Arabidopsis thaliana: one gene and its partner. The protein of the gene in region 1 interacts with the protein of each later gene in a pairwise test. Each region holds a gene or a part of one and is shown on either strand. Other genes may lie near its edges.

Region 1 (7,853 bases):
TGTATCTGTGAAACTTTGGATTGGTTATCTAAATCTGGGAACTTGAATGATGTGATTATAGGTGGGATTTGTGTTGTGTAGAAAATGTAAAGTGTTCAAGTGTGTCACATTTCCTAACTCAGAAGACGGCGATGAACTTTTGTTCTAAGAGCTCCTTGTTCTAGCAACACTCTTCTTCTCCAACTAAGGACACCATTTGAGTTTTCAGGTTCCTTTCTTTTTCCAATTGTTATATATATATATTGTCTTTACTCATATGTAGCCATATGTATATGCACATTGTAACATTAATCAGACTAGTGAATAGTGATTGCATTGGCTTCTTTACTGATCTCTATGTTCATGTGTGAAGCTTTCCTGATTGTATATTGTTATATGTATTGTCTTTATTCATATGTGTAATAAGCACATTGTAACATTAATCAGACTAGTCATTGCATTGGCTTCTTTCTAACCTTTCCTGGTTGATTTTTGTCTGTAATGTGTCTCATTCTCATGTAGATATTTAAATCTATTTCATTGATTATTCTTAAAAAATGGGATTTCCTTGTCGTTTAACGTATAACCTCGACACCCATCTTTAGAGCAGAAAACTATTGAGTCAATGTCGTACACTCCCAACTGTTTTTATGATTCCAAGGCATATGGTTTGTTCTTGTTAATCTTCTGCTGGATCATGCTGTCTTTAAGTTTATAGAAACCTGCAATTCATTATTCTCGATATAAGGTTCAGGAGATAAGTGCACATGTATTAGGCGATTCGTTCTAGATGGTGTTAAATCTCAAGGTACAGATGTCATGTGGTGTTTTCCGTTTTATCAGATCTCTATGTTTTCTGTTTTGACTTTTGACTCTCATTAATCATTTTGGCAGAGAACTAACATGTAATGTGATTTTATGAACATCTTACTCTTCCTTTCTTGAATCCTGTTTGGTTTAGGGGATTGTAAAGTCAGTCCTTTTGATATTGCCGTACTCTTTTGAGATGAACGTATATGCATGTGATCACAATAATGTAGCTAGTTAGTTTATGTAAGAATTTTTCTGTGACTCTGCTATTAGCTTATTATATTACTAAGCATCCGTATTTTAGCTTTAGTTTTTGTAAGAGAAGCTTAGGATACCGTACTTTTGCCTTTGAATAGTTTAAAAACAACATTCCACTTGGTGATTAAAAGTACCATTCCGTAATTATTGTTATCCTTACATTATCATATTATTTTAAACCTCTGATTACTTTAACATAACTCTGCAACTTCCATTCACATGGTTGTTCCGGAAAGAACGCAAACTGCCCAAATAGAAACATGAACCATTCTTTCTATTCTTTTTTTGTTCTCTCTCTCTCTCTTCTTATTTCTTAATAGGCGTAGCATTTTGGCTTATTATGAGCTTGATTTCTGCTTAGAGTTAAACGACAAAGTGCAAATGTTTAATTCGTATGACTCATTATACCTCTAGTTGCATAAGGGTCTATCTGCTGAGGTTATAGATCAACTTCTATAGTATTCCAAACTAATAAAATCTTCGGTTACCATAAATTATCTTGCCTACGTGATATGTTTCTACTGACTTGTGCTGCAAATGCAGACGACTGGATTACAAAGGATCTATGAAAATTTGTGTAAAAGTTCAGATAGTGTTTTTGCTTGATTCACTTATTCAGTATTTGATTTTTTATTGTACCACGAGTCTACTGCATTTGTCATCAGGAATAGATGGTTAGATCAATGGGCTGGTGGGTTCTTGTGAGAAATTCCACCAGAGCAGAGAAATATCAAAGAGCCGTTTTAAGTTTTCATCAGTCAGAGGTAGTGCAACAAAAATTGAAATCAGTGCAGAGAAAGAATAAAGAGTCTCCAGGAACAGAGGTCCACATCACGGTTTCAATGATCTGTTTGTACATTCCACTATTTAGAAATCTCTCCCCTTACTCAGAATTAAGAAATTTTAAAGCACACAAATCCATATTCCTAGAGAAAAAGTGGGAATAAGCAGAATGGCTCAAATTAGCACAAGAGGAGGAAAAAGAAGATGCAGAAGCAAGCAATGAACAAAACTATCTGCACATTGGGCTGTTGTGAGGTTGGTGTGAAGGAGTCTTAGGACAGTCTGATGGATGCTGGTAACTCGTCTTATCATCTGCTGCTGCATTGAACTTACATTCCTGCTTAGCTGTTATTGGCGTCACCAGGTACCCTTCGTTCTTCTCCTCCATTATCTTCAATATGCTCTCAAAAACAGAAACTTCACAAGGAATCCTCAAGACACCGGCTTGTTGAAACCCGAACTCTTCTTCTGCCTCACGCAGAAGAACATAGAAAGCTTGATGGCTGAGGTACTCGGTTGGTATTGTGTACCTCTTCTTCTCTAACCCGACCGAAACAGCTAGATACCCTTTAGGCACAGCTGTTACATCTGTAAATGACAGTGTCCTCTTCAGAAACTTGATGCTCTTGCTTCCCCCGCCACTGCTATTGTTGTCTTCGTTGTTGTTGTTGGCTGCTTTTGATGCAATTGCTTGTTTTCGCCATTTCTTGAGAAGCTGTTGAAGCTTAACGATCTCTCTGATCTTGTTTGACTTCTTGGCTTCCATGGTGGAGATAGAAGACAAAAGACAAGAAGTTTGGTACTATGTTTTGTCTAGCGTCTGTCTCTTTCTATGTGTGTAGTGATTAGGACGTGGTGAATATTGAGAATCGGGGATATATAGAGGTGGTGACCACGGAATTCTGATTTAATTAGTTTTGTTTCTGCTTAAAATATTGTGCTAATCATATGCTTTGGTTTTTTTTAATGATTTAAACCAACTTGAATTTGTTGACAAGCAAAATTAAGCAGCTTGAACTTAGAAAATGATATTTAACATAACCTCAAATTTTGTCACCAAAATCAGACAGGCAAAGCTGGCTCAAGCATCGCTTAAATCCCTGTAAAACGCAACTATGTAATTAATATTGAGATATACTTGTTGCTTTCTGACTCTGATTTCATTCACTCGGCAGCATTCTCGTGCTCTCGGCTGCTGTTGCCAAATCTTATGGTATCTTTCTCAAAAAGCTCATAGTACCGTTGTGTCTCCATCAGACTTTCATTGATGTAAGTCTTATAGGTACTACTAAGATCCATAATATGTAAGGCCTCACTTGCTTCTTTCCCATCATACCATATGGCTCTTTCTCTTTTTCCACCTCCCGGTACTGAATAACAGCATGTTGCTTGCTACAAAATGTGTGATTAGTAGGAATGTCGGATCTTTCTCTCACGTCCAAAGAGGTAGCAAATTTGGTAATGAATGCAAAGTGTCTCTTTCAGTGGTTCACCATCCTTAAAATGATAAAGTCTCCATCTTTCTTTGGGTTTTCTATTATCTACGGGATTATTGAAGAGGAGTGTGATACCTTTGTATATGTTGGTTTCTTCAGCAAGTTTCCTCGATAGCTCAAAACATCGCACACCATGTTTTTCAATCATCAAACATGAATGAAGTAGCAGCTATCGAGATTCTCTCTCTCGTCCGGTACTTAGCCAACACCCTTCCTCCGAATCTCTGAATGTCAGATTGATGTCTCCTGGCACTTGGAGGATAATCTAAGCAGACATGGATGGGTCCTAATCGATCAAGATAGTATCTTCCATATAGGTCTCAAGAGTTTGAGAAGATGTCTTTCACCGTTTCATGCGGAAGTTGACTCCTTACTTTAAGCAATTGAATGCATGATCGTAATTAGTGATATATTTGGAGTTTTCGCTTCCGGTTACTCTGATATGATATCTTTCCTCGACAACTATAACGAATGACCAATATTTGTAATAGAGATAGTCTATTTTCGATCTCTCATTTGTTTCTTTCTTTTTTTAACATTACATTTTTTCATAGAATTCTAATACTCACAGATTGTTTAATGATTTTTTCTTACAAAAAGTATCATTCAGATAATTTAATAAAAATGGTATCGCAGTGCCTTTATTTACCTTTAGGAGTAAGTTTTCTTTCTTCCGATATCCTAAATTGTTCGACACGTGTCAATCACGAAACCACAACCAAAAAACCTTGTCGTCTTCTCCAATCATAAAAAAAAAAAAAAAACAGTGTCCCAATTTGATCAAACAAAACAAATTCATAAATTCGGAGAAGAGAACGAAAAATCTTCTTGTTGGCAAATCTCCGGCGAGATCATCTTTCTTATTTTGTTCCACGGAAGTTTCAGACATGGCGGCCGCGAAACTCGTGGCGTTGTTACTTCTTCTCGCCTTGGTTTTCAATTTCACCACTTGTATCTTTGCCGACGCTGGAATCGACGGCGGCGATGAACCGAAACTTAGATCCGACGGCGGTGATATCGAATTGGATCAGCTTAATGCTAAAATCCGTGCCCTAGGTTACACTCAGAACTTTACAGTTACTTCAATTTTACTTCTATGTCAATCGTGAAAATTTGCTATGGCTTGTGTGAATTTCTCAAATTAATTTTTGTTTTCTTCTTTTTTGGTTGGTGAAGAATCTCAGATTGATGATAAAACCAAGGAACTTAAAGGCAGAGAAGAGTTAGTAACAGAGAAGGAGAAACTTCTTCAAGAGAGACAAGACAAAGTTGCTTCTTTGGAGACTGAGGTTTCTTCACTAAGGGTATGCATGCATCTTTTAGTGTCTCACTGAAATTGCTTCCATGTTCAGATATAGATTGCCTTTATATATCAATCTTTGTTTCCAGAAAAAAGGTTCATCAGATTCTGTGGAACTGTTGAGTAAAGCTCAAGCACGAGCTACTGAATTAGAGAAGCAGGTGAGTTCATTATTTGAGAACCCATCTTTTATATGCACGTAAGTTTCTAAATTCTACATTATACTTGTGAATTCAGGTTGAGGTACTTAAGAAATTTCTGGAGCAGAAAAACAAGGAGAAAGAATTGATAGAAGCTCAGACTAGTGAAACCGAGAAGAAGCTAAACGAATTGAACTCGAGAGTGGAGAAAGTATGTTCATTATACATCTCTTGGTTCATTTTCTCTTGACACACATTATTATTCATTTCAAATCATTTAAATAGAAAGTAGAAAGTATGTTCATTATGCAAATTTTCACAATCTATTCCTGCAGCTTCACAAGACAAATGAAGAGCAGAAGAACAAAATACGAAAACTTGAGCGTGCTCTTAAAATTTCTGAGGTATGACGACGCTCTTGGATTAAGTTTAGTTCCCCCTTAACTTTCGGTTTCTGCAATCACTCTCGACTCTTATCAAAATAAAATTATAGGAAGAAATGTTGCGGACAAAGCATGAAGCCACCACAAAGGCTAAGGAACTGATGGAGGTTCATGGGGCGTGGCTTCCCCCTTGGTTTGCTGTACACTGGAGTAGTTTTCAGGTGAGATTAATAGATTTTATCTTTTACGACTTTCTTGCATCATAGATTTTCTCAATTAACTTGGACACTTCCTGGACTCAGACTGTTGCTGGGACACACTGGGACGCCCACGGCAAACCAGTTATGGAGAAAGTTACTCAAAAGGTATTGTTAAATCCAAATTGTATGTTGATTACATGACTCTGAGAGCAAACTTATGCCTAACTAAGTTTGATCATCTTTTAGGTGACGTTAGCAAAAAATCAAGCTGAAAAATGGGCTAAACCGCACATGGCTAATGTTAAAACTGTAAGTAACTTACAGGCAATGTGTGTTATTACTCAGGAGGCTCTTATGGTTATGCTTACGAAATTCTATTTCCAGAAATATATTCCAGCCATAAAAGAGACTGTTAAAACGCATGTTGAGCCACACGTTCAAACACTATCTACCAAAGCGAAAGAGGCTTACCATGCTTCCAAGAGTGCGGTTACACCACATATTGTCAAGTTTCAAGAACATGTAGATCCCTATTACCAGGTGAAGTATATTTTTTTCTATCTAGATATTAATCTTTCAGCTCCATCGATGATGACAATATGCGCTTAATTTGTTTTGTTTATGCTCTCCAGGAGGCTAAAAAGTTTAGCAAGCCGTACGTTGATCAAGTGGCCACAGCCACAAAACCACATGTTGATAAGGTGAGAGCTACCATGAAGCCTTACACAACGAAGACTGTCCACTATTACAAAGAGTTCCTGGAATCTGCCTCAACTTATCACCACCAGGTTAGAATCGGAGGCACTGTGTATAATTTATAGGCATTATAGTTATGAGTAGTGTCATTTCTAGAGGAATGTGTTGTCTTTTAATCTGATAACTCTGTATATATGTGAAGCTTCAAGCCAATGTCGAAAGTAAACTGAAGAGCCATGAGCTGTTGGAACCTTTTGCCACCAAAGAGTTCATTTGGTTTGCAGTATGTTCTCTCGTCTTGCACTCTAAGACAACATGCTTTTTTGTTGCTTCCTTTATCAGCTTAAAATTGATAAACTGTTCACTGTAGGCCTCTGCTTTGTTGGCCTTACCCATCTTCATAGTGTACAAATTCCTCTGTTCGCTCTTCTGGCAAGTTTCTTATAACGAATCATTATTTATAAGATTTAAATTAGTTTTCAGTATATTGCTCTGTAGTTCTTAAAGATGCTCCATCCTTGATTCCACCAAATGACCTTTCGTTTGTTTGTTGTATGTTTATTGCAGCACAAAGACGAAGAAGCCTATCCGACAGTCTCATCAACATACTCGCCGTAAGGCCAGAAGGGGTCATTCTGACAAATGAAGTCACATGCTTTGTGTTGTTATCACTTCCTCGTGCTATAAATATTAGAGGTACATCTCACTTTCTGCTTAAATACACGTTGCAGAACGGGTCACGAACAAAGAATTTGAGGTTACTGGATAGATAGATAGGCCAAGCCAGAACTTACTTTCCATAGAAATGAGTCTGTCTGATGTTGATATGTGATTAATATGCCAGTTTCCGAATCCTCAATGCATTGTCTTTTTGTCGGATGCAAAACGCTTTCATATTGTGTAGAAGCTATTAGCGACTAGTGACTGAGGTTAAAACTTTGGACTGATATGTGTCTAATGTTTCTTGATCTTTATCTACATTCTTGCAGGTAAAGACGGGTTTTGATGCGTTCTCTGTGAGCCTCACCTACAGTCTATATGTTTCCTTCGTTGCGTATGAAAGAAACAGCTTATGTTAGAGGTATCTTATGGGTTTTTTTTTAATCTCGCTGTGCAAAAGTGTTCTTCACTCTCTCTGTTTTTGAGATGCCTTTTGAATATAAAGTTTTCAGTCTTTTATACAGAGAAGATTGACATCTAGAGGAAATCTACTAAGGGCTTGGTTTGTGTATTTTGTGATTCATGTGGATAAATTTGGTACTTGTGCCATTACTCTTTAAAAGCAATCACTCTTTGTCTTTTATCTTTTTGAAAACTTTTTCTCAAAAATCGAAACCAAATTGGGAATTGTTACAGCTTTTATTTTATTTGTAACTAAAAATCATAGAGCCAGACCATAATTGGTTTGACTAGTCTTTGATTCTTAATATTTTCCTAGAACAGGTAAACAAATGCAATAGAAAGAACAACCAAAAACGTTTTACCAACAAGTAAATGGAAACAATATAAAAACCATAACTTAAACTGACAATTACCAATCAATAAGATGGCCAGTATCCATCCAAGTCCATGCACTGGCTCATCTCCACATTTCCAAACCCGTTTTCGCCATTGTACGAAGCACTAACCGCGGCAACATCCTCAAGAGACACAACAGGAGGCGGCTGGACCAGTGCACCGCCAAGGTTGAGGTTGAGCCCTGAGACAGGCATGTGGGTGTAGTTCATTAGCTGCTGATGAGAAGAGTCCATGGTGGTGCTTGTAGAGGCACGGAAGACTCTTGAGAGCTCAGCTAGGTGAACGGCGTT
Region 2 (7,232 bases), on another chromosome or scaffold:
CACGGGATGATTCGCGCTGCAAAGTTTCTGAATAAAACAACGGGTTTAATAAACTTATAGAGCACAATAGAAAAACAAGAGATACTTAATTTCTGAGAGCTATTCAACTACAATGATCATTTACCTTTTGTTGCAAGTTTCTTTTTTTTCATGTTGAAGACAGTCAAACCAATGCAAAGACAAAAAAGAAACAGAGCAGTAGATAATACTATTATGAGTATCATCCTTATCTTTCCCTTCACGTAATGGATATTGTACTCATCTGTGATCGAAACGGAACAAAAAAGAATATTCAAGATTTATAAATCATTCTATAGTAAAACAATGTTTATTGTTTCACAAGTCTTAAACCTTACCTATCTCAGAAGAAGCAAGCCTCACATACAGATCTTGTCCGTTTTCATTATACTCTCTTATATCAATCAAATCTCCGAACCAGAGAATACATCCTTTTCCGCCATCTCTAATGTCGAAAGGCGAATAAGCCGAGCATGTACAGTTTCTCAAGCATACCTTTTTGCATTCATTCAAATCCATGTTCTTATCATACCACGATGTTCTTGTATCTGGTAACTTCAACTTTGAAATCTTCAGAAAGCCGTCCTCTCCTTTACCACAATCCAGTTTCACTCTCCTAACACACCCTTCGGACCAATCCCCTGCAACCCAAGCCTGTGGAGTTTTAGCAACAAACCCTTTTAAACACCTACAAGCGGGAGATTCATTGATGTTGCAGCTTCCGTAAGAGCCACACAACGTGTATTGATCACAACTATCCATCATAGCCGATAAATAGAAGTTCCAACTTTGAAGGTTATCGACCCAAGTGTAACGTTGCAAAGCTCCATTCGGATTCAGCTGCATTCTTGTCAGCACTGAAGGGTTTTCAAGCTTGTAAGTGTAGTAAACTTCTTCCTCCGTGAAGACATACTCATACCGATAGATAGGGTTAGGTTTTAGGTTTGGCATACCGGTGAATCTTAGACCGTTCCATGGACCAGTCCTGAAGACAACAACCGAGTTTTTCTTCAGGAAAAACTGCGGAACACCGTTTGGATCCATTTTATTCGTGTAGTTACCAGTTGATGGATCGTCTATTGCTCTCCAAGATGTCAAGAACCGGTTTAAACCGGTTACAAAATTAAGACCATATTTCATTCCTGGAAGAAACATATCTCCTGGGTAATCTAAACTCTGCCATATGTAATCCTGATCATCCCCTGAGTTTCTCACAACTAAATTACCTGTATCAAGAATCTGAACAATTGGGTTTCTTAGGCTGGCTTTCTGGGAAGATGGTGAGGATGATGATGACCAGATGATGTGATTCCGGTCATTGAAGAGGCATAAGCTCCCATTTTCAGATACTTTTAGGGTTCCTGAGAGATCGTAGAGAGGAGAGTCTCTGTTAGCAACCCAAACAACGGTCTGGAGAGAGATTTTCTTGTACCAAATTCCGAGATAACGATTTCTTGATCCTCCTGGAGAGAAAAAACCAACCTCGAAGCTCCCACCTTGCGAAACAATGGTGTCTCCATCTTTTAGAGTCTGGTTTGCTATGAGGATATCAGTTGCTTGTGCCAAAAGAATCGTCGAAAACAGAGAGATGATAAGCAGATGAAGCACATTAGTGGCTTCCATGGCCGGTTCTGTGGAACCAGAGAGCGTGGAAACGAAGTTGGTATATAAACAATGATGATAGTCAGTTATTTTATTTGTTTAATTACTGGAAATATAGAGAAAATTGTTTAAGTTAGGTTCCATGGAATATAGTTTAATATGTGTAAATGAGAGAGACATGGAAGAGAATTGTAATGAGTTGCTGTCCAGTATCTTGCGTCGTGATATTATTTGCTCTTAATGTCAACCACAACGTGCCTAGAGATTATATATTTGTAGTTTTATACGTGTTTTATAGGACAAATGGTGGAATGATTCAATGGAGATGCAAAGTTACTTGTCAATTGGAACTAAATAATGCAATTTAACTAAGATATAAAGAAAACATCAAACAAAGTTTAGTGGGGAGCTTCTCAATCTAAAGAAAGTAAGCTCAGAAAGACAGAAACCATTGAATATTCAAAACAAAAAAACAATCCACAGCTTAGCATTTTGTTGACCGACTCATATAAAACTAAAATGTTGCGACGGGCTTTCTCGACCAGACTTAGTTAAAATCCGCCACGATCAGTGTTGCTGATTCAGCATGTGGGCCGGCCCATGGTTATCTGTTAGTAAAGCTTCCACGTAATCTAAGAAAACAAAAAATGAGCCGCATGGATTAAGAAGATAATGTACACTTTCAAATATATGATGAATTATTTTCAATTTTGTGACAATAAAATAGGTTATTATCAATTCTGAGACAGTTTAAATGTTACGATACCTTTTATCTGTATCTTAGATAAACATGATTCAACAGATTTAATATTTCAATAGCAAATTTTATTTATGAGAGGTTTTAATAAGAGCACAATGGTTTGTCAGCATTAAGAAGACAAGCTCATTAAGAGGCAAGAGTAAGACCAAAGATATCATTAGCCAGGAATCATGATTTAATGTTCGTTCTTTGAACTTGACTCTTTTTTTTTTTTTAATGCATTGAATAAGCATTATTGAACTGCGATTTTCGGTTAAATAGTACATGAATCATGAAATAATGACAATGGTTATCCAATAAGCAAGATTTTGGTTTGATTATATATAAATTAAAATAGAGACATGCAATTAGAGAACGGGCAGACCAAGTAGTAGAATATTATGTCGCTGCATTTAGTTTTGCTGACGATGTCTTTGAATAAGGGACACCAACATTTGATTTAATCAAATACCATGCATAGAAATGTCACATACCAAGTTATAGTAAATGTTAGTCAAACCTTTGATATTTCGTTTGTTTGAAGTTGCAACTTGCATGCAAGTCATAACTCGAAAGTCTTTTTTTTTTGTTTTTTTGGGCACAACTAAGTCGAAAGTCTAGAAAACTGAATGTCATGGATAAGTTGATGCATTCCACAGCTATTTAATTTTTCAAAACTAACTGAGATAAAAACATATTTTTGAAGCAAGTTATAACAAAACTTAAACTAATTACACATTTCGTGAACTTTGACAAAAGTAATTTGTAGTAGTAAATATCATTAAACATACCCATCTCCAAAAATCGAAATAGTAACTACAATCTATACTAAAAAAAACTGTGTGATCAGGCAAAACCAGTATTTGAATAATTCCAGAGTAATTTTAAGTCGAGCCGACCTTAATCTTTAAAGAAAAAGAAAGAAACATATTTTCGATAATCAATCAAATAAACAAACTCAAGTCACTTGCCGATGAAAGTGGTGGAAATTTCCCATAAATAAACAAAGGAACAAACAAACAACTCCTCCATTTCCATTACTTTACTCTTTCTATTTCTTAATATAAACGGACGATTTTACCCTCCATCTCTCGCCGTTTTCACACTATGAGCTTTCCACATCCCTTTACGAAGTGACGATATTACCCCTAAAAGCGACCTTCCTCGAAGAAACCACATACCAACAATCTGAGAGATTAATCGCAATTTCCCAGACACGGGACCTTCCCTCATTAATCTTAGCTGGCTTCCATGGATGTTCCTTCTCAGAAATCCCAATTTCTCTTCCTTTATATTCTCATTCACTCCTCATTCTCCTCCTCAAATCAATAACAACGATAAAAAAACAAACCTTCCTTAACCAGAACCAAATTTCAGATTTTTAAACAACATAAGCTCTAATGGCGTCACCAAAGTCACCCACAAGACCAACCCAACAAAACCCACAACCCAATTTCCACGATTTTCTTCCTACCATGGCCGGAAACCTAGGCGGTGAAGGTCTGATCGGAGAGCTATGCAACGGCTTCGAGCTTTTGATGGACAGAGAGAAAGGTGTCATCACGTTCGAGAGTCTCCGACGTAACGCTGCGGCGGTTCTGGGTTTAGGAGATTTGACTGATGAAGATGTCCGGTGTATGATTAAAGAAGGTGATTTTGACTGCGACGGTGCGTTGAATCAGATGGAGTTTTGTGTGTTGATGTTTAGGCTTAGCCCTGATTTGATGGAAGCGTCGCGGTGTCTCGTCACGGAGGTCATTGAGGAGGAGTTTGGCTTCACGCGCCGGCATTGACACTGGAGAGATTTGGGATCCCTTCCTCTTTTATTTAATTCGATTCATTTGTTACCTTTTTCTTAATTTTTCCATTAATGTTACCATTCACATAATTCTTTTAATCATAGTACTTGATACTATTTTTACACTTCAGTTTATATCTTTGATCAGATGTGTTGAACATATATAAAATAAAGAAAAAAATTCATAAACTAGACTGGTGATGACTGTATCACAATATCGATTTGTAGCACACACAAAAAAATCATCATCCTTAAGCACTATCAATGATGTGTTGATTATAATGCTTAATCTTTCCATGAATAAAAGGAGATATGTTAATTAGGAGCTATCTAGTCAAGCTTTTACAATTAAGGTGGTTTACTGGATCAAAAATAAGTTAAGGGGCAGAAATATAAATTAATAAGTTTTGGGTCGTTGACTAAAAATTCTCGAAGAGCTAGCTATAACAACAATTTGGAGCTAGATTTTCTGCGAAAACAAAAATCAGAAAAGCTTTCAGAGGATCGAGCGCACTTCTTCAATGGCGACCAAAGTTTACATAGTGTATGTGAAAATTATCTTCTGTCGTAATGTTTTCTTTCTCTGCTCGAACACTTATTGCAAATGCGCGATCATCGATCGATCTCACTGATTGAAAAATCAGCTTTGATTAACTCAAATGACTCGATTTCATTGTCGCTGATCTCAAAGTCGCAGTGTTGTATACTTGTTCACTGTGAATCGATGATTTTCGCTGTGGTTTAATATAATTGTCATTTGTAATTAGAATCATGGATTTGTGTTGCTTTGCCTTAATTTTGTGATGGGTTTGGATTTTAATGTGGAGATGCAGTGAGTGGTGCCATTGACAATTTGGTGAGTGTAATAGGTACTACTCAATGTATGGTCATGTGGAGAAATTAGCTCAAGAGATTAGGAAAGGTGCTGCTTCTGTTGATGGTGTTGAAGCCATACTCTGGCAGGTCAGTGCTTGGTTTACTGCTCTTTATTGAGCTTTCTTACTCATTGTCAATTTTCATCAGCACATCTGATTCTAGGATACAATGAGAGACAGTTTCAAGTGACTAGATTTCTTTGAAAATTTAGGTGTTGAAGTTAAAAACTTGTTCTTGTATCTGAAAGATAGGGAATTACATTTCTAGAGTTTTCTGTTTTACTGGAATATCTTTTAGCTGCCACCATTCTTATGCTATTTTAGTGATTCAACACTACTGACGGATGATGACTACTTATTATAGGCTAGAACTTTTGGAACCAATGAGAGACATTTATCTTAACCTGCATTGTCTTTTCGGCGTATCCTATTGTCTTATCTGCGTTGAACAATGTGTGCTTCACTGAGTTTATTTTGCTAAGACGAATGTTTGTTTGACTCTCTACTCCCTGAAAGAAAGAAGAAATACGCTCTTAATTTTGATTTACTATACATTGTAGCTGCCAACATTCTTGACAGTATTCGATGTCTCGAGCTCCTTTATTTTGACTAGTCACTACAAGTTATTTCCTTTGTGTTCAGAACCAAAACAAAACTATAGTATCCTATTGGCATATTTTACCATAACCTCTACTTTTAATGTATATAGTGTTGCTTTCCCTTAGTTTATTTACACAAAAGGGCATGTTCCTTTATTCTGCATCTATTTTCTGCCGTCAGTGTTTCTGATCATAAGTTACCTGTAAAGAATCATTGGAAGAAGTATTGAGCTAGCGTTTGTTCTTGACAGGTACCCGAAACGCTCCAAGAAGATGTGCTCTCTAAAATGAGTGCACCACCAAAGAGTGATGCTCCTATTATCACCCCAAACGAGCTCGCTGAGGCTGATGGATTTATCTTCGGCTTCCCAACGAGGTTTGGTATGATGGCTGCTCAGTTCAAGGCATTTTTAGATGCGACCGGCGGCCTTTGGAGGACTCAGCAACTCGCCGGTAAACCAGCCGGAATCTTCTACAGCACAGGGTCCCAAGGTGGTGGTCAAGAAACCACCGCGTAAGTTTCTTTTCACAATCCAAACAGCATTCATCAAAGTGACCACTTGCTATATTGTTGACAAAACGGATTTATGTGTAGATTAACTGCCATTACTCAGCTGGTTCATCACGGGATGATCTTTGTCCCGATTGGCTACACATTTGGTGCCGGAATGTTTGAGATGGAAAATGTGAAAGGTGGAAGCCCGTACGGGGCGGGAACATTTGCCGGAGATGGGTCGAGACAGCCAACGGAACTGGAGTTGGGGCAAGCATTTCACCAAGGGAAGTACATTGCCGCCATAAGTAAGAAGCTCAAGGGACCTGCTGCTGCTTAGAGCTCTCTCAATAAGATAATATTTTGATTCTTTGTTGGCATTTTGTGATTTTTTTTGCTTTGGAATTATGCAACACTGATTGAGTTACTTCAGCTCACAGCAATAACATAACTTTGCCTTGGTTTGTAAGTTGTAACTGTCCCACTTCTGACTTGGGTTAAAGAGAAACTCACATAGTCACATGTACTAACATTGTTGCCCACTAAACTCTTTCGACGGTAGTTTAAAGTGGCCCACTAAGGCCCATCACTTGAAAAGTTAGCCCAATAAATTCATTTATCCGAGTTGAAATATCCAGAACTGGACTAAATCGGACCGGCTTCAAAGAAGTATCACAGAAAAAATTTACTGAAGAACTAAACTATCCGTTTAAAAGTTTACACTATGAGAATCTGAATTTCACAGAAAAAAAATCAGTGATAACAAAAAGAAATTGTATATATTTCACTTATAACGCCTGTTTTAATTTAACCATTATGCCTTTAACTATCCAAACTCCAGAGGAATAAACAACTTTAGCTATTACATTATTACTAGACTAAAAGATTAAATTGAATTTTTGTGGATTGGTCATATATATAAGATAAGGAGAAATGGAGGGGACCAAAATTGTCTTATAACTTAGACTAGTCGAACAGGAGGGATCAAATTGGTTTGTTCGATTTAAAGTGCGACTTAGATGATATAATTTGGTCTAATAAATCCAAGACATATAAAACAAAATAATTGAAACTTAAAGATGGTTGCTTAATTTGGCCAAATATTATA

What was found. Proteins that work in one complex are often made in the same cells at the same time.
Region 2: the proteins of AT2G24400 (region 1) and AT4G27280 interact in a two-hybrid assay, tested with the Arabidopsis thaliana proteins (one large-scale study listed by BioGRID).

What each region holds. Positions count from the first base shown.
Region 1 is NC_003071.7:10,375,934-10,383,786, forward strand, and holds AT2G24400 (SAUR-like auxin-responsive protein family), read right to left. Parts: upstream 2,713-7,853; 5' UTR 2,597-2,712; coding exon 2,060-2,596; 3' UTR 1,023-2,059; downstream 1-1,022. Other genes in the region: AT2G24395 (chaperone protein dnaJ-like protein), read left to right, coding at 62-148; AT2G24410 (SMAD/FHA domain protein), read right to left, coding at 3,238-3,474; AT2G24420 (DNA repair ATPase-like protein), read left to right, coding at 4,214-4,382, 4,503-4,630, 4,716-4,787, 4,864-4,977, 5,102-5,170, 5,260-5,370, 5,452-5,514, 5,596-5,658 and 5 more; NAC038 (NAC domain containing protein 38), read right to left, coding at 7,584-7,853.
Region 2 is NC_003075.7:13,660,690-13,667,921, reverse strand, and holds AT4G27280 (Calcium-binding EF-hand family protein), read left to right. Parts: upstream 1-3,300; 5' UTR 3,301-3,759; coding exon 3,760-4,152; 3' UTR 4,153-4,507; downstream 4,508-7,232. Other genes in the region: AT4G27290 (S-locus lectin protein kinase family protein), read right to left, coding at 1-27, 125-262, 357-1,641; AT4G27270 (Quinone reductase family protein), read left to right, coding at 4,679-4,701, 5,027-5,120, 5,883-6,145, 6,227-6,464. UniProt on the Arabidopsis thaliana protein: Potential calcium sensor that binds calcium in vitro.